Caenorhabditis elegans: one gene and its partners. The protein of the gene in region 1 purifies or fractionates together with the protein of each later gene. This does not show direct contact. Each region holds a gene or a part of one and is shown in the gene's direction. Other genes may lie near its edges. The genes, in order: ced-10, mig-10, chdp-1 and wsp-1.

Region 1 (5,599 bases):
AACGGAGCAGCCTTCAGACCGCCTGTGAAATCTATACGGCAAAGAAAGCAGAGCTCGCGAAAGCTCTTTCAGACGCTGGAGGCACTGATGCTCCACCAATTGATGAGGCAATTGATGCCGCTTTTCCGTTGCACCGACAAATTGTGCTCAATTATGCGAAAGATTTGACATGTGATGACGTCATTTATTCACTTGGTATGGAACGAAAAGTTGGGAAAAATTGGAAAAATCTAGCTGGAATTGCTCAATCCTGAGGAAAATGTGCAAAAATTGTTTTCAAAAAATGCAGAAGTTGAAAATTAAGAAAAACTAGTGAAAATGTTTCAAAAAAATTAAATTAAAGTTGAGATTTTTCGAAGTTTCTGAGAGATTTGAAGCCAAATTAAAAGCGTTTTTCTGAAATTTTTCAACGATTTCGTCTATTAGCACTACTACAAATCATTCAAAAACCCCCGAAAAAAAACAGAAATTAGTTAAAATTGACTTTAAATTCTAGAAAATTCACAAAAACTACAAAAAATTGGAAGTTTCTGAACAATTTTCAGCCATTTTTACTCCAAAATTTTGTTGAAATCGTTCAAAAATCAGTTTCGGTTTTATTTTAGCAAAAGTGTTTTTTTTTTGCGGAAATTTGATAGAAAAATTATTGAAAATGACTGAAAATTGGAATTTCAGCAAATTTTCGGTGTAAAAATTTTTCCGAAATCCAGCAAAAAAAAAAACGAAAAAAAATTATGGTATTTATGAGAAATTTTTTTTTTGCCTAATCTTCAAAATTTCAGGTCAATCACTGAAAAAACGCCAAATAACACTTGCCGAATACCTCCGCCATGTTCGTGACGTGTCCCGAGAGCAATTTATCTACCGAGCAACAATGCAGAAATGTCGACGAACTGCTGGTCTTCCTATTTAAAATTTAAATAAAATTTGGATTGAAAATCGTGGAAATTTTTGAGAAAAAATTGCTAATTTTTTGACCAAAACTGGAAAATCGTGAAAAATTGTCCATAAAAATGCTAAAAATTCGATAAAATTCTCGATTTTTGGATGAAAAATACTTTTTTCAATAAAAAGTGGGAATTTCAGCGATTTTCTGACGAAAAACTTAAAATTATTGCTGAGAAATCGAGAAAAATGCATTTTTTTAAAACGATTTTAGCTAAAAATTCCATATTTCATTTATTTTCCTGATGAAAAATTGTTTAACATCAAAATTTCGGTGCTTTTCCGTGATTTTTCAAGTTTTTTACATGTTTTTCCGTTAAAAATTCACTTAAATCTTCTAATTTCAGCCGAAAATTGTAAATTTCAATAATTCCCGTTAAAAATGATGGAGCTTCTATTGAAAATTACCTCGAAAAAAGCTTTCTTTTTTTGACGATTTTCCAGCCGAAACATGTAAATTACGACGAATTTCAGTGACTTTTTTGTCAAAAAAATTACGGTTTTCACTCATTTTTCCATCTTCTCATTTCAAAATTTCTCCCATTGCCGCCATTTTTCTCTAATACTCCCTTTCTCTCCGTCTTGATGCCCGTTGTGATTTGGTTTGTTCTCTCTCTCTCTCTCTTTTTTTCCGTTTTATAGACACAATTTTCTAGATTTTTCCCCATTTAAAATATCCAATTTTGCACCCATTTCCCCATTTTTCCCGGGGGAAAAGCTCGCTTTTCTCTCGAAATTCGATGACTTTTTCAGGTTTTTTGTTCATTTATTTTTTGTACAAAAATTTTAATTTAAATGTGATTTTTCCCCCCATTTTTTTCTGATTTTTTCGCTCAAAATACCGTGATTTTTGGCGGTTTTTCAATATTTTTGATAGATTTTTTTTGTTGCTATTTTTAAGCCAATTTTTCCAGCTTTTTGTGCTTGTGCTCGCGGAGCTCCCCACAAATGCAAGCGATCAAATGTGTCGTCGTTGGTGACGGAGCCGTCGGTAAAACGTGTCTCCTGATATCCTACACCACAAACGCATTTCCCGGAGAATATATTCCGACGGTGAGTCATTTTTAAAGCAAAAATTGAGATAAAATTACGTTTTTTGGCTCAGAAAATAGGACATTTTGACACAAAATCGAAAAAAAAAAACAAAGAAATTTAGGCAAAAAATATTCAAAATTGTTGTATTTTGATCCAAAAATCATTGAAATAAATATTTTTTTAGGCCAAAAACTGGGAAAAATAGTGAAATTATCAATACTGAAAATCGTGAACATTTTGATTTATAAAACATTTAAATAAAAAATAATTTAAATTAAATTTTTTTTGCTAAAAATCGTTTTAAAAAGTACATTTTTTTAATCAAAAAAATAAGTGAAATTTCACTGAAAAGTATGAAAATTAAAACTTCCGTTTTTTACGGAAAATCTAGACAAAAAACTTTTCAAAATGCGATAAAAAAGTTTTCTGCAAAAATCGTTTTAAGAAACACATTTTTAGCGAAATTTTGCTGAAAAATATGAAAATTGTCAACTTGTTCCCATAAAAATCAATAAATTAATATTTTTTATACCAAAAGCTGGGAAAATGGTGAAATTTCATATAAAAATTGGTATTTTTATTTGAAAAAAAAATGTCGAAAATTTCAAAAAACTTCAGTTTTTTTAAACGGAAAATCTAGAAAATTTTGATTCAAAAAACTTTTAAAAATGCAATAAAATTGTAGGCTTTTTGCAACAAAAAAATTGAAAATTTTGAAAAGCGCACAATTTCCCGCAAAAAATATGAAAGGTGTCTTCTTTTTCCCAAAAAAATGCTTTTTTCCCATAAATTCAAATTTTTTCCAGGTATTCGACAACTACTCAGCAAATGTGATGGTCGACGGTCGGCCGATAAATCTCGGGCTCTGGGATACAGCTGGACAGGAAGATTACGATCGGTACGGGCAGCGGGAAAACTGAAAATGCTCGAAAAAACTCAGGATTATGGGTTTTTTCAATAAAAAATTGCTCAGGATTATGTGATATTTTCCTCAATCAAAATGTGGAAAATATCACATTTTAGAAAATTTCATCCAATTTTTCATAAAATGACAGTGATTTTGAAGCTATTTTGTGGTGAAAAACTCGAAAAACATGGAATTTTTCGCACTTTGCACTAAAAATTACCCCAATTATCAATTTTTCAACACCAAAAAAATTTGCAGACTCCGACCACTGTCATATCCACAAACAGACGTGTTTCTCGTATGCTTTGCCCTGAACAATCCGGCGAGTTTTGAGAATGTTCGTGCGAAATGGTATCCAGAAGTGTCACATCATTGCCCGAATACGCCGATTATTTTGGTTGGAACGAAAGCTGATCTGCGTGAGGATCGAGATACTGTTGAACGGTAGATTTTTGGAGAATTTGAGAGAAAAATTGAGGAATAAAGTGAAAAATTTGTAGAAAATGATGAAAAATTGCCAAAAAATTCGAAAAAGCGCATAAAAATTCAGAAAATCACTTAAAAATTGAAGGAATACCGCCAAAACATTAGAAAAATCATTAGAAACGGCAAAAAAATGAGAAATAAGGAAAAAACGCATCAATTTCAGGAAAAAAAATTGCAAAAATTGTATGAAAAGTTGCGTAAAATAGCACAACATTCACATAAAATTTTGGAAAAAAATTTGCAAGATTTTGAGAAATTTGCTCAAAATGTTGAAAAAAAAATTAAAATTAAGATAAATCGCTAAAGAAATGTAAAAAGTTGCACTAAATTCGCATAAATTGTGGACAAAAGTTTGAAATTTTGAAAAAAAGCACATTAAACAAAATTGGCTTAAAATCGAGAAAACTTGCAAAAATTCCGAAAAAAAAAATTTTTTTTGCAGGCTCCGCGAACGCCGGCTCCAACCAGTGAGCCAAACCCAGGGCTACGTGATGGCAAAGGAAATCAAGGCTGTCAAGTATCTGGAGTGCTCGGCGCTCACGCAACGTGGTCTGAAACAAGTTTTCGATGAGGCGATCCGAGCCGTGCTCACGCCGCCACAAAGAGCCAAAAAGAGCAAGTGTACGGTGCTCTAAGATGGGGAAATTGGAGCAAACAATCGCAGAAACTACAACAATTTTAACTATATATATACATATATCATCTGGATTTTTTTTGTTTTATCGATGAATTTTGCTGTGAAATTACCGGTTTTTAGGGAGTAAAAATTGGCAAAAACTGAGCATTTTTAGGCAAAAAACTCGCCGATTTCCGTTCAAAGAAATGCTCCAAATCGGCTGAAAATTACTATTTTTTTTAACCGAAAATCGGCCAAATTTCCACTGAAAAAGCTCAATTTCAGCCGAAAATTTCTCGATTTTTTTCCAGAAAATTGTCCAAAATCTGGGCGTTTCCACTCTCTAAATCTGAATTTCCAGCACACTTTTTCTCATTTTCCCCCTCTATTTTTATCTCTAAAAATTTGTTTTGTATCAACGATTTTTCATCTTAAACTCGCTGTGATACTTTTCTTACTTATCCACCCCAATTTTCAGCATATTTTGTGCTCATTTTTGAGCCGAAAAATGCTCAATTTGTCCATTCATAATTTTGTGCTTTTCCCCTTTTCCCACCTGAAATAGGTCTTTTTTCATCTGAAAAATTGAATAACTTTTCCCCAAAAACCACAAGTGCTTTTTCCTCTCTAATTTTTATCGGTTTATTTTTTTTATTTGAAATTTCTTCGAAATTTTTGTGAAATTTCTTCGAAAAATCTGAAAATGTTTGGAAATCTCTACGATTTTTTCTAAAAAATGTTCAAACTTTTTGGAATTTGTTTGAAAAATTATTTGGAATTTTTCTGAAACTTTTTTTCAAAAACTTTCGATTTTTTTTTGTAATTTTTAGGACACAACGAACCCTCTCTCCACAACCAAAAATCCTCTTTTTTCTATTGTGAATTTGAACAACAAACTCGGCTCTTTTTCCCTTTTTTCTTACTTTAATTGTTAATTTCTCTTCTTTTTGTCCAACTTTTATTATGCTATTTTAATATGATGATATGATATTTTACCACACTTTTTTTCTATGATGGAATTTTAAATTTGAACATTTTTTGATGGAAAAATTGGAAAAAAAAACAATTCGAAAAGTTGCAGAGATTACAGATTTTTCTGAAACTTTCGATCAAAAATTTCAGATTCTGAGTTTTTTTACATTTGTTAATCGGACACAGAAATGAATGAAAAAAATCCTAAAAAATTTCCGAACTTTTGTTTTCTCGGTGGCCTAGAAAACCTAGATTTCTAGGAGTTTTCTAGTCCCCGGGCATTGGCCACCCAGCAAGCACGTGTGTGTGTTCATTGATCGTTAATGTGTGGGTTGACGCTGAAACTCTTGATCCCCAAAATCACTTTGATAAATCTTTTCAAACTGATTTTTTCCGATGAATCTCCAATCCATTTTCTGCTTCCCAAATACGGAACTTGAATAGTCAACGGAGTTATAAGAGTACTCACTAAGGTAGCGATTACCACAAAAGAGCACCCACAAGAACCATGTAACAACTGGATAGTGCTAAATATGATTGGGAACTGAAAACTGGTTCAAAAAATAAAATTGAATTACATCGAACTAAATACCGATTCAAATATTAGCGCAGTGACTGCCTGCCAGAAAATGTACTTT
Region 2 (4,595 bases), on another chromosome or scaffold:
AAATTCTTGCATAAAATACTCATTTATCTTGGCTAAACTTGGCGACGCTAACTGTAATTATTTTCGGGAAATTTGAACTATAGTTTTCTATGGTTTCAGCAGAAACTTCACTTTTTTTTCAAAAAAAAAAAAACTTGAAATTTCCAACTTCAGAATGTGCTCTATACCTTACTTACCTATAACTACCTTACTGCTACCAAGTTTTTCTGAAAACTTTTTTAAAAGTTCTAGTTTTGATTGTCTTGTAATCTTCTTCATTATAGTTTCCTTACCGTATCGTGCCGAGCGACTCAATTATGAATAATCCTCTTATTTTTTATGTCAACTCTTCCAGATTACGCGCGTTCCTTCCATTATTTGCGCACTCTGAACTCTCCTTCTGTTCCATTTTCTCTTCGTTTTTCTATTCAACCAAAATTTGCATATTCTATACTCAATACCATATTGATGGTCCGGTTGTCCCACGAGACTTTATCATAAAAAGGTCATTATATGCTTCTTCTGCTTCTTTTCTCGCGCATTAGTACGTTTTTGCCGCTTTCTTTCCGCGCGGAAGAGATATATGTGTCCCTCTTTGCTGTCCCCGCCTTCTTTTTTATTCTTTCTTGTTGTTGTGCGGGGGAGGGGGGTATCCCTTGACTTGTATCATCGCTTTTGCACTTTGTTAGCAACGATCCCGACAGAGGGAAGGTCAATCACTTTTTTATGCAGATGTTGTTGTTTTTTCGAGGAGACGGAAGAAAATTTGGTGTAGATTATTTAGTGGTCAATTGGGTTTTCCTTCTGTCTTAAAAACTTTAGACCACACACTCAAATTTGGCCTTGCATCACTTTGCTCTACTTTAACAACTCATAAATATCTCGGTCTTCTTATATTTTATTGAGACATTTTAAACTGTAAAAGTAGGTGTCAAATAATTTGCTATATTTGTATAGTTGAACAGTTTTTCGTTGAGCTTAAACCACTGAAATATAAGCCGTCAATGTAGAGTAGTGTGGTTCAAACATAGGAAAATACGGTATTTAGAGAGCGGAAATCTCAATTTTGTTTTTGTTATTGTTTTATTTGGATTAGCTTGACAAGTCGTGTTTTGAATTTTTTCTAGATTGCAAGGGTTCATAATTTTTTAACTTGAGAATAAAAAGATTGTTCTACATACAATACATATTTTTAAGACTAGAAAAAGTGGATTTATTGTGACAATAAACTAGAGAAATCTATGAAAAAAATTCAATAAAAGTCTGTTTCCTGCTGATTGAAAACTAGATATTCAGAATTTAGTATACAAATATTATTTGCGCAAGTTTGGGCAAATACTTTGGATATTTCTAAAAGTCGAAAAACGAGCAATTTTTGATGCTAGATTTTTTGATTTGACGAATTTTTTCAGTTTTTTTTCTTTAAAAAAGGTTTTTGACCCCTTAAAGTTTTCCTTTCCCTTCCAATTTTTTCCTTCTTTCTTATACGACTTCTCAAGTTTCAACTCTAAAACAAAGCTACATGTACATTTCCGGTAAACTTTGTGTCTCAGAAGATCCATTTTCTTTTTGTTACATTTATTCAAGATTGAATTCCAAAATTTCAGCCAATATGGACAGTTGCGAAGAGGAATGCGATCTGGAAGTTGACAGTGACGAAGAAGATCAACTTTTTGGTGAAAAGTGGTGAGTTCTTATTGTGGTAACCAAAGAAATGTCAGTGGTCCGTAAACACTTGACTCCCAAATGGTTTCTCGTAATTACCTTATGCACACTTTTCAAGTGTTTGCCGTTTGATCTTAGCCAATTTGAAACGTTTAGATGTTAAATGGAAAATGGGTAAAGTTTTTTATTTTATAGAAAAAAGGTTTGGAAAAAAATCGAGTCACTGAATAGTTTGAAGAACGGAAAAATAAAACTTTCCAAAAATCATAAAACATTTAGTGTTTCGAAAATTATAGTGTTTTTTTTGTTGGTATGTTTTGACAAAAGCTAAACCATCTTTATTGTAGTTTTGTAAAATGTTCACAAAGATGCGTTTTTTTTTCAAATTTGGCAGGCTATCTTTACATTCACATTTGGATAATTCAAATTTTTCTTATCGCTAACAAATTTTCCTATTTTTCCAATTATTCGTTTTTATAAAGCTTTGGTAGTATGTTGTGTCTATCTTTAGTGGTCATCAGTTGACCGGACCTTCACCCTCATCGAGCAAAAGATTGCTATCTCAACTTGCGTTTTTGTCTGTGACTCACAATTTCCTATAATCTCTAAGCTGGCATGTTCGTACGTCCTTTACGCCTATCTCGTGCATTCAGATAACTTGATTATATGTTCTATTTGTTGGTTTATTGGCGATGCTTCTGAATTGATTACTTTTTCTTGTCGTGTTTCGTAACACTAGTATTAGCAGTAGCTTCAGCCTAATTTCCAGTTAGGCCTTTTTTCCAATGACCTCATTTCCCGTATTCTATACACTTGATTAGTTTTCTTTGGTTACGGTCATTTATCATTCGCAGATGATTTAGTGACAATCCGGCAAAAGAAATAGAACGGAAGGCCATCCAGATGTGATTTTCTATGATCTTTTCTTGTTGGCTGTACGGTTTTCCTTGAAACCTACTGGATTTTCGTTCAGAATTTTTTGTTGGTTTTCCAAAAATATGACTTATAGCTTAGATCGGAATGTAACAAAACTTTTGAATGTGTGTTGAAGTGTTCAGAACTTTTTATTTCATGTAATTTCTCCAAAGAAACCGCAGCCTTTTTAAAAAATTATCTAAATTATTTGGTAGGATACTAGATTACTCAGCCTTACTCAGCCCTAGGAAAAATAATGTCTCCACAACGCAACTCTACTTCCCAAACGACAGACAAAACTCTTTTTTGTGCAATTTTTTCAAGATGTTCTAAAGTTATGAAGCAAAGTTAAGTTACGAATCAATATTATTCAGAAATGTTCCATTTGTGCTCTTTTTCATTTGTTGCAAAGCTCTGAACATACCAGAGCATTGATGAATAAATCATTCGCACTCTTCCTCGTCTCTTTCTGTTCATTTCAATCTGTGCGCGAGCATGTTTCATGGAACATGTGTATGAATTCAAAAGAGACACAGAGAAAAGGAACGACATTCTGAAACAATGGGTTGTCCGTTCTCTTGTCCATTCTTGTTTCTGTGTTGCACTCTATTTCTCTTTTCTTTCACTTTTCTGACTTTTATTGCTGCTCTTGGCCATGAAAGTGAAATTCTCTGAATTTTTAAAGATAGTTGCAAGTGTGGTCTAATTAAGTTTGAAAGTCGGGGAGGTCTAGGAAAAGGTAACCAAGATACTAAGTAAGTTGGAAGAAAAACGGAGAAAATTGGTGAATTTTTTTCAAGAATGACAAGAAAGAAAGAGCTACATAACTTCAAGTCCGCGAAACGATTATTTTTCAATAACCATTAGTAAAATTTCGCAATGGCGTCTAAAAGTTATGAAAGTTTGCCAAAATTGATATCATTTCTCCTGAATCTCTAAATAGATTTTTTAAAAATAATTTTGTACTGTGAAAAATAGAAAAAATAGAAAAAACAACAAAAATATACAAGTCATAGATTAAACATTAACCAGAAAATCATCTATCAAAAAGTTGAAAAAACTTTATATAGCTCACATGGATTTTCAATAACGTTTTCAAGCCCTCTCTACAAAAAACTATCAAAAAATTTCTAATTAACACCATCCAAACCCCAATTTGTTTATGAACTAACTAAAATCCTCGAAAATCCGGCAAATCCTCGTGGCTAGCCAGGTGTTCATCGGTCCGTGTTGTTGCCATGTGTGTTCCATTTCTGATGTTCATTCATCGTTTTTACCGGAGCGTGTCCTTTCCGTCAGTTTCGAATTGCTTCAAACCTTTCAGTTTTGAATCACCAGAAGAGAACAGCCTTGTCATGGTAGAGTATGTTCACTTTCTTGACCCCTTTGACTCTCTCTTTGTCCATCAAAATGCTGTCGTTCACTCTTTGTTTGGGAGCAATTCATCAAAAATGTTGGCAGATTGTTCCCTGTTCCTCTTTCTTTTCTTATGAAGTGCCATCTACTTTTCAATTCTAGAAACTTGAAATATTCTTTCAATTTTAAATGTGAATTCAAAATAGAGAAGTTGATTCAGAAAAGCCCTTTTTTCAATTTTTAAAAAACTTACATTCAATGTTTTGGTAATTTACGAAATGTTCCAAAAATATGGGCATTCTAAGTAATTTCGAGCATTGGTTCGTCCTCAGAATGTTGAAATAGAGCAATATATGCAAATAAAAAAAAAGGCAATTAAAGTATAAAAACTCATAGAAACAAAAATCTGCCACACTTGAAATTATGATAGGTGCAAACTAAGTTTTCACAACACAATTTGAATTAAAAATTCAGACAAGTTTTTTGAAAAGATTTACTATGATATTTGAGTTTTTCCCATTTGGAGAGGTTTCTAACAAAATTACTTTCTAAGAGAAACACAACAAATTTCTAAATTCCATTGATGTGTTCCATTTTTCAAATTGATCCACTTAAAGAATGCATTCTCGTTTATGTAAACATGAAAGCATTCCCAATAAATTCCATTCATTTTACAGCAT
Region 3 (6,853 bases), on another chromosome or scaffold:
AATCATGTGAAATCGTAGCAAAAACAAGCAGACGGTACTTTCAGGTGACCAATACAATTTCTTTTGTTTACCTGATACTGACGAAAATTCGTAAAAGCTTCTGACTAGCGCAATAAATGTGTCATTTTCCAATCAGTCACAAAAATCGACAAAATAAATCAGAATCCTTTTCATGTTTTCAGTATCTGCAGAAAGTATCTATTGCTAGGCCCTTTCGGGAAGTGTAAAATGATAATGATTATCAGAGCATTATCAGTTTTCCTAACCGCCATGAACATTGAGCATTGCACCGCTTTTATCAGTTATTACCGTACTAATTGTTTCCGCTTTAGATAATTCCGTTCTATCATCCGATAAAATAGCGCTAAATAATTCTTCAACCTTTTTATTGGTATGAACTCGATGCAATGCTTTCAACTCTCAAATACCCAGTAATTTTGGTTGTCATGGTTACATTCGATTGTGAACCTTCAAAAATTATCTGTTTTCAATTTCATCACTCAAGCAGCACACGCAAACATCCATCCAGCGCGGACACCCGCCCCACAAGTCAGTAGACTCCGCCCAAATTTTCCGTCCGCTATGAGAGACGGGAGAGGGACACATTTGCCGCTGCTGCTGCCGCAATGGAAAGGGACGTTTCGGTGGCTGCTGCCACTGTGTGCATCATTGCGGTTGGGTGGTGTGGTGATGGTGCTGGTAATGGTTGACGATTGGACCACTGGCCTTGTCCTCTTTTTCACTGCAAAATGTGTGCAATACCCCTGCTCTCATATTCATTCATTTCGTCGCCCACATCCATTCCATTCGTCTTTTCTGGACATTTCTTGTTCTCTTTTTGACTCCGCCTTTTTCTCGATTTCGTAATCTATGTTTCCTATGTTTCTCATTTCGAAATCATGAATGACTCATGCTCTGAAGTTCGGACTTCTGTTCATTTCACTTCTATTTGCTTCATTTTTAAATTTAGTGTAGGTGAGAACAGCAACGACTGAATCAGAATCGAGAGCAAATAGGGGGCGGGCGGCGGTTCGATATATCAAATGACACGGAGGTAGACCATTCAAAAAGGTAAATGGTGTTAGTGGACCCTCGCCTCTCATCTCATACCGTCTCTTTCTCTCGTCTGAATAGTCTTTTTGACACACTTATTGTCGTTATGAAATGAATGTGAATAGAGGAAAAAAGGAGATTGAATGACCCTTTTTCGCCACCTCACCTGCTGAGTAAGAACCGGTTATTCCAGAATAGTGAAAGGCTCTTTTGGTTTCTTTTCTTAAGCCTTCTAGTACTCTACCTTCCTACATTTATTGCCTTTTTTCGTCCAGACGAATGTTTTCCAGGAAAAGTGAGCGCTTCTTATCTCGTTAGCATTATTCTTCGATTCAATTCAAGTCGCATATGACTAGTTCTTCTTTTTAAATCATAACCTAAACGCGCATTTTCTCTTCATGACCTTTTCCCGCAATTTGAGCATCGATTGACTGTTCTAGCCCCCGCAGCGTTCAGCGTTCCGCGTACCATCTAGTCTCTTCACACAATCAGTCTTACATTATTGTCCCTACTATAACATCGTCTTCTCTTTCTTTTTACATTGTCTCACTTGAGTTCTTCGTCTTTTTTTGTTCTTCTCATCTATATCCACTAAAACCCCATTCTTGGAGACGGTTCTAGAATAGAAAATGAGTCCTCGACAGAGACGGGTGCAATTAGTGTCCAAGCGAGAGAGAAGCTTTTGCTCATTCCGGTTTTGTCTTTTGCCTACCAAAATGTGCTACCCCGGCTTACTAGCGGCTCGCTACTGGAGACTCTATTCGATTACCCCCGTAATTGAGTTGACTTTCATGGTAGTCTTCTGTTTTTCCCCATTCCATTTTCTCATTTTTCTTATTCTCCTCTCCAACTCGTCTATTTCTCTCGTATTTTTTCTCCATTTTTAGCTCTTTGTTTCTCCGAATACCTCGAAAATTAATGAGTTTCTTTCAGTCTCAGTTCTCTCGTCACTAACCAACACATCAACTATGTCTGAGGAAATCAAGAAGATCGAGGAGGTCGCCGAGCAAGACAAGGCTCCAAAGGTTCCAACCACCGAACCACCAGTCGATGTTCCAGCACCAGTTACTGAAGAAGCACCAAAAGTAGAAGAAGCTGTCGCTGAGATTGCTGCCCCAGCTGCTGCAGAAGGAGAAACTGCCACCGCTGCTGCTGCAGCTCCAGAAGAGAAAAAGAAGTCTGGAGGTGTTGCTCGGCGTTTCACTTTCAACAAGAGATGGGGAAAGCACCGTGATGCGGAAGCATCCACTCCAAAAGAGCCAGAAGCACCAAAGGATCCAAAGGAAGACGTTCTCGGATGGATTGCTCAACAGATTCCACAGGCTGTTCACAAGGTAAGAATACTTTCAAAATAACTAAAACGATTCAGGGCAGATGGTATTCTCGCTAGAGCAACCGAAACGCAGGTTTAGTATTCACCCTAGCATAACAGCTGTTTCCGATTAGCCCCCATTCTCACCAGTTACCTTTGAATTCAAATTACCGCAGTTCGATTTTTTAAGAATCATAGGTGAATTCATTGGAATGCCTAAAAATTTCTAGGAATTGGCCAAAACGATGCATAAGTACTTTTAACTAACAAGAACCTATCTGAAATTTGATCCTGAGCTCACAAAAAAGTTTGGAACAAGTGCATTTTCCCCTACTCCTTCACAAGTTCATTAAGTCTATTCATCAACATTTGCAATGTATCGCTCATTGGTATTTGCAAGGTTTTTTGTTTGATCGCGCCGGCGAGATTGGCGATGTGCGTCGGCACTCTGTAAAAGGGCAGCTGTGCCAATCTTTCCTCGTTCCGACGCTCGTATTGCTGCAGACCCCGTAGAATGGTGTTGTAATGTAACTAACTGTGTGTGCGCGCGCACCGGATTCGCTATTGCGTAACTCTTTAGGATAATGAGAGGCAGATATTGTAGATATCCTAGAAATTGACAGACGTTCGTAAAAGTTATAAAATCGATGTTGTCTGGTGACCAGGATATTTACACGAATTAGAAATAAAAAGATGTGTGATTCGACTTTAAATTTTGAATACTCACAAAAATAATCCCCATGGAAACGGAAACAAAAATACATGACGAAAAGTATTTATATTTCATCATAATTTCGAAACATCTGTTTTATACAATGAGATTCACAAAGATTAGCATGTATGAAATCTCTTTTAAAGTCTGAATTTCGCAGGAATTTTGAGAGAAGAAAGTTTAGAAGCTATACAAAAAATTGGGTCAATTTCCCTAGACATTAATCCTGAACAATTGCTGGTTCAGTTCGACAGCCATTTTTTGTTGGTACACAAGATGAATTCGTCCTTTTTGCATCTTCTTTCCCAAAAAAAAAGGAACTCATTGGTTGAACCGCGCTGCTGCTCTGCTCCTCCTTTCTTTGTTTCTTAATTCTGATGCAAACGCACTTCTGTTTTAGTGGTTGCCGTCTTTCTTGTCCAGCACGAATGAGAATGATCTCTTATATGGAGGCTTGCAACATTGAGAGTGCTCTCATGGGATTATAGCAGAAAGAACTGGTATTGGATATTTGCGTCTTTTTTGCACTGAGAAAACAAATTACATTGGAACGTTCTTTTTTCGGATTCTTATTTTGGTCATTAAAGTTTTATTTTTCAGGCCAACTACCAGGTTATCGACTGGGTTCAGAAGACAGCTATCCCAGAGGAAGGAGAGCGAAAGACCATTCCGGGAAAAGATCAGGCCACGACTCGCAACCAATTCATTGGATTCTTCAAAGATGGAGATGTCCTCGCCAAGCTGGCCAACGCTCTTGAGGTATGTTAATTTCACTTTTCTGATAAGAATATATGGGGTAATGATGATGATGATAAAATGTGATAAGTGATATGCAAATAGGTCGGAAGGTGCATTATCAATTAGCGGTATTTCCGTTCCGACATTGATCGGAATTCGGAAATATTTTGAGATCTATTATATGAGTTAATTAAGTGAGGGATCTTAATCATGAAAACAAATTAAAATTTACAGCCAGGAGCAGTTGAAGTCGCTGCCGCTGAGGAAAACGCCGATGCTGCAGCCCAGAAAGAAGTTCAGAAGAAGAACATTGATGCCTTCGGAGCTTGGGCTCAAAAGACTCTTGGAACCGAGGCTGCTCCAGTAACCAACGAAGATCTTCTTGAAAAGGGAAAAGCTGGATACACAGCTGTTTTCCAAACTCTCTGGCAACTCGGAGTTCAGGCCAAGGAAAAGTTTGACAAGGAAGGATTCAATGTTGACACCATTGTTCAGCTTGCAAACTCTGTCGTCAAGAGCGGATTGTTGACCACAATCCTAGGATTCTTCAGAGTGAGTTATATTCTAGATTAATTTTCAATTAACTTTTGTTTTTATTTTTGATAGCTAATTTATCTTGTTTCAGAGAAATCGGCAAGCTGCTGCTGCTGTAGAAGAGCCAAAGGATGAGACTGCAGCTGCGGAGGGAGCCGGAGAAGCAAAAGAAGAGGGAGCTACCGGAGAAGTTGCAGATACCGCTGATGAGCCAGTTGCAGTGAAACAAGAGACTAGTGCACCGGCTGCCGTCGCTGCAAATTAGAAATCTGGAAGAAGTATTTATCTTTCTGTAATTTCTAGTCCGCATCTCTCTTTTCCACTATCGTGTTCCGGTATCTCAACTGTTTCCTCCGCCTCTTCATTCCAAATATTCAATGTCTCTTCCTCGAAACGATGATGATAGCTCAAAGAAGAAATGTGCTCTCAAAAGTAAGTGTAGTACAAAAACGATGACCGTCTGGCGGGATGTGTGTTTGAGTAACGGATTTATATGCATAAAGAGTCCTTATTTGGTCTCGGTTTTGGACCGTTTAGTGTAGCGCGGAAGTGGAAAAGTGTACTATTGGACTTCTCGTTCTACAAAGCGTGTGCTCACATTCCATCGGTCGGCGTGCTCTTAATGAGAAGACAAGTGTTGGTTTTGTTTTTGGAACTGGGCCAAGTCTCTCCCATTTCTATTTTCTCTATTGAGGGAAAATAGTACAAATGAGAGAGGCAATAATTAGGAAGCGATGGACAATTATGGGTCACTGAGCACCACAAAAGGACCGCCTTTCTATAATTAGAAAGGTGCAAACATTCTCTATGTAGACATACCTTGATTTTAATTTTATAACGCTTGAGTTAGTTCTAGAAACTCTTTAGAAAATTTCTAACTGAAAGGCGTAAATTTCTTGAGATTCTCTCGGAAGACAAAACAATAGGATCAAAGTTTGGACATTGATTTTTTTTACCGAATCCTTGGAATGATGTATTTGTCCTCCGCCAAACTTTTTTTTAAATTTCTCGTCTTCCGTTTCCTTCTCGCTTGAGGATCCCAAATAGGCGTGGAATTGGAGACTGTAGATCAGATTATACCTCTCATTCACATTTTCGGAGGCGAGTCCTGTACAAAAAAAGCGAGAAGACCTTGACTCGGTGACCCTTTCAAATTGTCTACCGTCTCTTCTATGGTCCGTACTGCATCGTGACTTGTTTCCTGTCGTCATCATACAGGTCAACCTTACCAACCGATCCTAAGTAATTTGAGTCGGAAGAAGTGGTTGAGAGGGGTTCGTAGGGTGTCTGGTGTGGTAGATTGAACTGTTTATATTCTAAAAGGGCAGCTGAGAAGGACCTTGAGAATATAATTGTTTATACTAAAAAGTCACGAGCAGCCACAGAAAATATCCTTTTTTGAAGTAATTGGTCATCAATTTCTGCTCGCTGACAAAAAAGGTCCAAAATGGTCAATTGACAGATGATGATATTTAACGAGAAACGGAAAGGGGTTCTGCGCTTATTTTTAATGTGCCGTTGAATGCAATTATTCAATTATCTGTGAAATGAGGATATCAAGAAAAAACTAATAAATTTAATTATTTCAGCACTATCTTCAATCAAAGCAATCATCTTCATTTCGATGTCGGCCGGGCAGCAGCAATCAATTTTTAAAAAATCTTTTCTCTAAAAGAAAATCTAATTTTGTTCATCGTTTTACCATTCTTCATTTCAACCAATTTTCTCACCTAATAAGACTTTAATAATCGATAATTGATCTATAAAAGTCTATTTTTCACCAATCTCTCGATTCATCAAACTTTTTTTGTATTTTGATAACTATTGTCTCAGCTTTCTCTTTTTGTGCTTTTCATCCTCCAAAAGTGTGAAGCTCATTAAATGAGCCTTTCCACTTGATTGATTCGAGATTTTTCCTGTTTTTCCAAAGTTCAATCTCTATTCTCTCGCTTTTTTCAACTTCAGTTTTTTCTCATTTTTCGAAATAAATAATGGAACCAACCAATTCTTCTTCGTTGTGCATGTTGTTTTTGAGTTAACATTGGTTCTAAATTTATTTTAAATTAAAAAAGTTCTAAATACAGTTAAAATATTCAGATGTTTTCAACAACACCAATTAAAGAAGAATCATGGAGACATGAAGGGTAAGAAATTATAAAAAGTTCTAAATACAGTAAAATAATTTTTTTCGCAAGGAATTGTAATCTTACTGTCAGTTGTTTTATAGAAATTTTGAAGCATCTCAAATATTTCAAGCCTCCTTTCGCTAATTTTTTGTGAATCAGATTAAATATTTTTTGTTTTAAGAACTTAACGTTTAAATTCAAGACATAAAAAACTCGAGAAATCTTAGATAAAATACGCAAAAATCGAAAGAATTTTGAAATTATTGCTTTACATGTCGCGACCTTCAATTGTTTCTAATCGTAGACCCAAAATTTTGCGATTTTTGAGCCAAGAACACGGTATTCGGTCTCGGCACGACAATTTCTCGTTAAATGAAA
Region 4 (6,794 bases), 4.7 Mb from region 1:
GACGTTTGTTGGTCTTATTTTTGATCTCGATCGTATTATTCTATTCTATTATTCTGGAGCGGTAATTTTTTGAAATGACCAATCCATTGAAATTAATACAAATTGTCATTTACTATAATAGATAATCGGAAAAAAAAGTTGAAATTGAAACTTATTAAAACGTACCTGATATCTCGGAATGGTCTTACTGTAGTCTACTGTATTCCTAACTTACAATACGATATGTCATTATGTGTCACTTGATTCGAAGTTATATTGCTTACAATCTATAAAATTCTATTTGAAAAAATAGAAATTTGTTCTGACCTATCATGAATCTCAGTTTTGTGTTCCTCTAAAGCATGAGCCACTTTCAATCGACGCATGTGAAAAGCGGGCCACTTGAAAGAGCAAGGAGTAGGACAAGACGAGTACAGGATTCAATGGAGATCTACGTGATCTTACCCGTGCCTTGTGCTCTACAATGTTCAATCTGAACAAAGAACGAGCACTGGTTCAATTATAAGGTTTTCATACTTTTTATTTTCTTCTCTTTTTTACAATAGTGCTTCAAGTCTCCATCTCTTCTTCTGCAGCAATCCTATGCGGTTGTATTATGTTCATGCATTAATTTTTGAGAAGTCGACACTTGAGAGGAAGTTATAATTAGGTTTTCGTATATAGTTTTGTATTTGGCGCAGGTTATTTTTGAAACATAGTATATCTTTAAAATCTGTTAACAGAACACAAGCAGATGTGAAAAAAGTGTAGAAATTATTTAATAATAAGTGAAACTGGCTGTTCCTTCCGTTTTCCGAATGTCATTATTGACGTCTAGAGGTGTAGCTGTTCCTACGTGTTGTTGTTAGCGGGTGTGACAGTAGTCAAACGATGATTGAATAATTTTTGTGTTGAAGTACACGCTTTCAAACAAAAAAGTAAAATCTTAGTTTTTTCAGTCTTACCGCTGTTTTAAATTTGAAGGATCACCCTTAAGAACGGTGTCTCGTTTACTATAAAAGTACTGTAAACTCAAGAAAAAAATTACGATACTTCTTACAAAGTATTTCTGGTAGCCACACATTGACACCTAAGTCACAAACTAATAGAAACATTATCTTATTATTTCTCAGTTTTTTAATGTTTAACTATATTGAGACTCTCTCCGTTAGAGGTTCAGGGCAGCACATACACACATACACATACTCATCGGTGTTGACTCCGCCTAACTCTCGTGAGAAGAGAAGTGCTTCAGTTCACCTCCCCACAGTTTTCGCCCCATCATTTCGGTCACTTTTACTATTCATTTCTTACATGGAAAATTTTTGGAATATGTAAAAAATATCATTTTTTGAATAGAAATAGATAGTTGTTAGGAATTCAATTAATATTTACATCTGTTTCCTCTGTCAATATGCACATCTCACTGCCGCCAAACTGTGGTAGTGTGTTGTGTAATTTGATTCCGAATCGAAACGATTGGGCGAGAGAGAAAATTAGAGGGAGAGAAGCCGAACGGTGTGAAGAGGCGAAACGGTATACAATAATGATGTGTATTATGACGGTTTTCATTTCGTTCTGTTTCTATGATTCTCTGAATATCCGTTCGAATCACTAAGTGCTTGTACGCCAATCAGAAAGTCATGGCAATTTAAAAGATTTAGAAATGCAAACGTTTTTTTTTCCAAATTCACTTTTCATCAGACTTCAGCAAGATTTTTTGAAGAATAGGATGTTACAAATTATGCTTGCGTAAATATGCAACATTTTTTGGAATGCCCATTTTCGAAGTCAACTAGAGGTATAATTTGGAACCCTTATATACATCTCTCCTTTCAATTGTTTCACACATCACTCGGATATCTCAAGTGAATTTGTTCCATTCCTTCATTTTATGACCTGAAAATTCCGATTCTCACAGCTTTCGATTCCATAAACGTCACCTTTCGACATTTCCCATATACTCTTTTTTCTCTCGCTTTCATCTCCATAATTTGCGACGATCTTTTTCGCCTTCTTTCAGAAGTATCAGAAGTAGTAGCCATTCGAAGAATAATAACATGTGGATGGTGGTAAGCGAGGATCCGGCCGGCCGCCTCCGCTATCAGTACCACAACCTGCCGGTCGCTCAATCGTTTCCTCCTCCTTCCCACCCTCCGCCACCGTCTGCGACAACCAATCCGTCGTCCAATAAACCGTCAACCGTTTCGTCGGCGGCTCAAATTTATTCGTCCTTTCCATCCTCCACTTCCTCTTCCGGTACTGGCGGTCATCTTCACCATAACCATATGCAACGTTTTGCACGTGGAGGATGCTCTAGCTTCCCTGATTCTATGGGATCCTCACCTCGTACTACCCATCGGAGTCATACTCTACCAAATGGAGGATATTATGAAATGGAACAATATGACAATGTAAATGATTATTCGACTTATGGAGGTCCTGATTCCACGTCAAGCTCAACAAGCTCATCTGCAGAATACCAAGATCCAGTATATTCAACAAGGTATGGAGGATCCACAGGTACATATGCAAGGCGTCAGAACTATGCAAGATGTTATGTTCCAATATCTGCTGATGCATTCTATTACTATCACAATCAACAAAAGCAACTACAACAGCAACATCATCAGCAGCAACAACAGCAGCTAGCATTCCGACCTCGTCATCGATCATCACATCATCATCAAGAACCTCGTCGACATAGAGCTCCGAGTCCTGATCCAGACTATTCACCCCCACTTTCTCGAAATAAGGTACGATTTCATATCCCAGAAGAACCAGTATCTCGTGGTGACTATGTGAGTTCTCGACACGTATTCAATACGGATGACTTCGGTGACGAAGACGACGATTATGAATCAGTATCGATGAATCCTGATCCTGCACCTCATTCTGATTCCGTATTAGTTCATCGATCAAATGGTCAAGTATCTGTTATGGTCACAAAGAAAGAAGAACCTATCTACTGTTCTGGAGGAAGTGATAGTAGTACAGAGAGTAGCAGTGCAACACCATCATCTGTAGAAGCAGATACTCCACCACCAATTCCATCTCATCCACCTGCAAGGCATCGATTAGTGAAGAAAAGTTCTAGTTCGACATCAATTTCGCTTAATGGTTTGTTTTACAGACTTTAAATATTCTGATGTCTGAATCTTCACCTCATCATTTTTACTCTTCTACAATAGTTTCTAAAACCTTTTAAAATCTCCCAAAAATTACACAGCTTGTGAAGCTTGAAAATTTAAAAACGAATTTAGTTTTTCGAAACTTCTAAAAGTATAGGAAGTGTCAACAAGTTGAACTCATGATGTGTATTTGCACTTTATCATAATATTTTTGTTTACTTGATCACTATCTTTCCATATTATCGTTTTTTCTTTGAGTTGATCAATTTGATAGACAGAATCTGGTTCTATAAGAGTTTTTCACACAAATTTGGAAAGCAAACATCCAACCCAGGATGGCGAGAAATTCGGACCGATTATTTGTGTTCATGTCATGTTATGAGCACCGCCGACCGAGTACTTGATCGGCTTCAAGCGCTCAGAGCACATGAACATCATTGTTGAGCAGAAATGCTGGAGAATAGAGAAAGATGATTTTTAACTGATTGGGTGATCGAATTGAAATGAAAAAGAACAGAGCACTTGACAGTGAGAACTTCTATATTTAATAATTTATTATTTCAGGAATCGGATCCACTCCAACACGACAATTCGAAATCACACAGGCTTATGGAGGAACAATTCGAGGACCTCCAATGGCAATTGGCGGAGGTCAAGGGATAACACAAATGGGAACTATGGCTGCTGCACCACAATCACATACACATACAGGTGAATATTTTTTTGGAAATTGAAAAATGATGTTCTCGTAGTCAGTAATTGAATTTCTGAATAAAATTACGTAAACTTAAAAAAAATCACATTTTATATCTCATTTCTTATGCATACTTTGCAAAATTTGCTCATATTTTAATGATTAATAAATTGAAAAGATTGTTACATAAATTTGGTGAGAAATCTCTTCAAAAAATAACATTAATTTTAATTAAATATTTTCAATATTTACAGATGGAAATGCTAGCAGTAGTGGATCATGGTTCCGGAAAGATAAAAACAAAAAGAAGGATAAAAAATCGAAAATTAAGAAAGAGGATATTTCTAATCCAACAAACTTTCAGTGAGATTTATTCCGTTTTAATGGTTTAAATTAAACTAAATATTTCAGACATAAAGCTCATGTTGGATGGAATCAGGATAGTGGATTCTCGAATACAGTTTACGACGATGATATGGATGAAGCTACTAAAAATATTCTAAAGGCTGCTGGATTGGAAAGCAATAATCTGAATGAGGATGATAAGAAATTCGTGAAAAAATTCATTGCCAAGAACTATGATAAATATGTATCTGTTGGAAGTTTGGATCCATCACAAATCTCATCACCTCTTCCACCACCAATTCAGCAACATCCACAGATGAATCAGTCATGGAATCAGTTAGTTTTTTTGTTTTCATTTCGGAAAAAAATAACTCCAAACCAGAAAAAATAAATTTAATTATGGTCCGACATCTACTGGGTTTCGCCCCTGTGAAGATACATGCATATGCGCTGTGTGAGTCGAAACCCGGTAGATGTCGGACCATGAAAAAGAGTAATGGCAACGCAATCCCAATTATTCTCCCCCGAAATGCTTTCGATGTAGTTTTTTTTCCGCAAACTTACAAAAAAAGTTAAAAGTAATATGTTTCTGTTACAGTTAACCCTTGAATATATTTTACGACTACTGTTTTTTGTAGCTGAGAACCAGAAATATTATGAAATATTTAATATAAATACTAGAAATATTAGAAATGAAATTAGTGTTGCATTTGGTGAGGGCGTATTTCAGCCATATTAGAAATACGATAACAAAAAAGTTTTATTTTTAAATGAAAAAAAAATTTTCAGAACACCAGTGCGTCAATACAAACCATCATTCCCATCATCTGCTCCGATTGGAAGCGGTGCTTCATCATATTCCACACCTGCCGCTCCTCCACCTCCAACACGTGTCGAATCTCATGGATTGGCTCCAGCTCGTCCACCTCCTCCACCACCGTCATCTGGTACCCGTGGAATTGCACCATCAAGACCTTTACCTCAAGTAAGTAACCGGAGAGTGATTTTCTGAAAAAAATTAATTTATATTCAGGCGCCCAACTATGGAACCCCAGAGAATCGACCACATGCGGTTCCACCACCTCCACCCCCTCCACCACCACAATCATTTGGAATGGCTCCGATATCATCCGCAGCTCCTCCACCACCACCTCCTCCACCACCGATGGGATTGCCAGCAGTAGGAGCAGGAGCTCCACCCCCTCCACCTCCACCACCACCTTCAGGAGCCGGAGGACCTGCATCGGTGCTCGCAAAACTACCACCTGCTCAGGATGGAAGATCGAATTTGCTAGCGGTTAGTATACTTTTAAAAATGTTCACTATTGAATTTTGTATTCAGGAAATCCAAGCTGGAAAACAACTTCGATCCGTTCAACAAACTGCAGATTCACCAAAATCGGCTGGTGGTGATGCTCGTGGAGATGTGATGGCCCAAATTCGACAAGGAGCACAATTAAAACATGTAAGACAATTTTTAACCGAAAATTACTATTGATTCCAATTTTTTTAAACTTTAGGTGGATGCAGCTGCTGAGCAAGAACGTCGAAAGAGTACGACTTCTGGAGCCGCTGGAATGGGAGGATTGGCTGGAGCACTAGCAAAGGCTCTTGAGGAACGTCGAATGAATATGGGAATAGATGATACTAGTGATGATGATGACGATGAAGATGACAAAAATGAATGGTCAGATTAGACTAAATTATCTCATTAAACTTGTTTTCCTTCCATTTTTCGTTTCCTTTTTCTGTGCAAATCCCGTGTGAAACAGGGTAATTTTAGTCCCTCAAGTACAATTCTTGATTTGAAAAATTACAGAATCGTCAATTTCCAAGATAAATTATCATACATTTTGAAAGTGACGAATTTGTAAAACTTGTGCATTTAGTTTTTTTTTTTCTCCAAATCAGTGCCTATTCCGTGTGAATTTCTCTTCGTAAGCCCCCTTCCACACACCCGAAATACCAACAAACTTTTAAAACTCAACCAGTCTTCTTGTTTTTCTCCCGTAGATTTTTCTGTGATGCTCCCCTCTCATCCAAAACCATTGTCCCTTTTTAGACTTACAGCAGAAACGCTCATAATTTTTTTGCATATTATCATTTTTCTGGGTATCCACATAAATAATTTTTGTTTCCAATTCGATGAGAAGTAGAAGCTTTCCGGGTAGAGCTTGTTTATTCACAGGTGTACAATAAGAATAACGGCTAAAATAAATAGCAAAAAAAATGGTTCTGTGTGCTTTTTGGGAACAAATTGAGATTATGAGATGATTTTTTGTAGATTTTTGTGTGATTTATGAACAGAAAATGTAAATTTGAAAATCGCTATTACTGGTTACGGGAAACAACGGGAAAAATTCTAAGAAGAATGATGGAGTCTCGGGATATGAAGAGAAAATATTACACAATAAATTATTAGGAAACATGTTTCATAAACATCTTGATCTATAAGTGACCGCATTGGAAGGACATTTTGGTTGGGAGGAAACGAATCGGAATTGGTTGACAAGAACCCGTAAAAGTGCAACACAATCTGAGATGAAATGGGGAAAAAAGAAACAAATTTAATTCTAAATATGTTTTTTTTTGTTGAGAAAATTATTTCTAAGTGTGATGACTCGAATGCATTCGATATTTATCTT

The links.
Region 2: the proteins of ced-10 (region 1) and mig-10 purify together in Caenorhabditis elegans (affinity purification with western blotting, with the first as the bait; one study listed by BioGRID). This does not show direct contact.
Region 3: the proteins of ced-10 (region 1) and chdp-1 purify together in Caenorhabditis elegans (affinity purification with western blotting; one study listed by BioGRID). This does not show direct contact.
Region 4: the proteins of ced-10 (region 1) and wsp-1 purify together in Caenorhabditis elegans (affinity purification with western blotting, with the first as the bait; one study listed by BioGRID). This does not show direct contact.

What each region holds. Positions count from the first base shown.
Region 1 is NC_003282.8:3,505,788-3,511,386, reverse strand, and holds ced-10 (Ras-related protein ced-10), read left to right. Parts: upstream 1-1,859; 5' UTR 1,860-1,893; coding exon 1,894-1,998; intron 1,999-2,278; exon of another isoform or gene 2,279-2,428; intron 2,429-2,786; coding exon 2,787-2,878; intron 2,879-3,145; coding exon 3,146-3,331; intron 3,332-3,815; coding exon 3,816-4,008; 3' UTR 4,009-5,059; downstream 5,060-5,599. Other genes in the region: tsg-101 (Tumor susceptibility gene 101 protein), read left to right, coding at 1-195, 783-913; srz-83 (Serpentine Receptor, class Z), read right to left, coding at 5,272-5,505, 5,554-5,599. UniProt on the Caenorhabditis elegans protein: Required in engulfing to control the phagocytosis of apoptotic cell corpses. Required in embryonic development for the correct positioning and orientation of the mitotic spindles and division planes in blastomere cells.
Region 2 is NC_003281.10:8,277,517-8,282,111, forward strand, and holds the start of mig-10 (Abnormal cell migration protein 10), read left to right. Parts: upstream 1-1,591; coding exon 1,592-1,665; intron 1,666-2,128; exon of another isoform or gene 2,129-2,220; intron 2,221-2,922; exon of another isoform or gene 2,923-3,059; intron 3,060-4,592; coding exon 4,593-4,595. UniProt on the Caenorhabditis elegans protein: Required cell non-autonomously for proper development of the excretory canals and for the long-range anterior-posterior migrations of embryonic neurons CAN, ALM and HSN.
Region 3 is NC_003279.8:6,282,987-6,289,839, forward strand, and holds chdp-1 (Calponin homology domain-containing protein), read left to right. Parts: upstream 1-1,986; 5' UTR 1,987-2,021; coding exon 2,022-2,387; intron 2,388-2,701; exon of another isoform or gene 2,702-2,913; intron 2,914-3,361; exon of another isoform or gene 3,362-3,586; intron 3,587-3,677; coding exon 3,678-3,836; intron 3,837-4,049; coding exon 4,050-4,367; intron 4,368-4,440; coding exon 4,441-4,614; 3' UTR 4,615-4,781; intron 4,782-5,938; 3' UTR 5,939-6,352; downstream 6,353-6,853. Other genes in the region: C10G11.6 (Verprolin-like), read left to right, coding at 6,447-6,493.
Region 4 is NC_003282.8:8,188,398-8,195,191, reverse strand, and holds wsp-1 (CRIB domain-containing protein), read left to right. Parts: upstream 1-1,996; 5' UTR 1,997-2,039; coding exon 2,040-3,099; intron 3,100-3,674; coding exon 3,675-3,821; intron 3,822-4,058; coding exon 4,059-4,167; intron 4,168-4,215; coding exon 4,216-4,485; intron 4,486-4,938; coding exon 4,939-5,134; intron 5,135-5,182; coding exon 5,183-5,446; intron 5,447-5,491; coding exon 5,492-5,614; intron 5,615-5,669; coding exon 5,670-5,846; 3' UTR 5,847-6,288; downstream 6,289-6,794. Other genes in the region: pct-1 (Cyclin-dependent kinase 17), read right to left, coding at 6,757-6,794.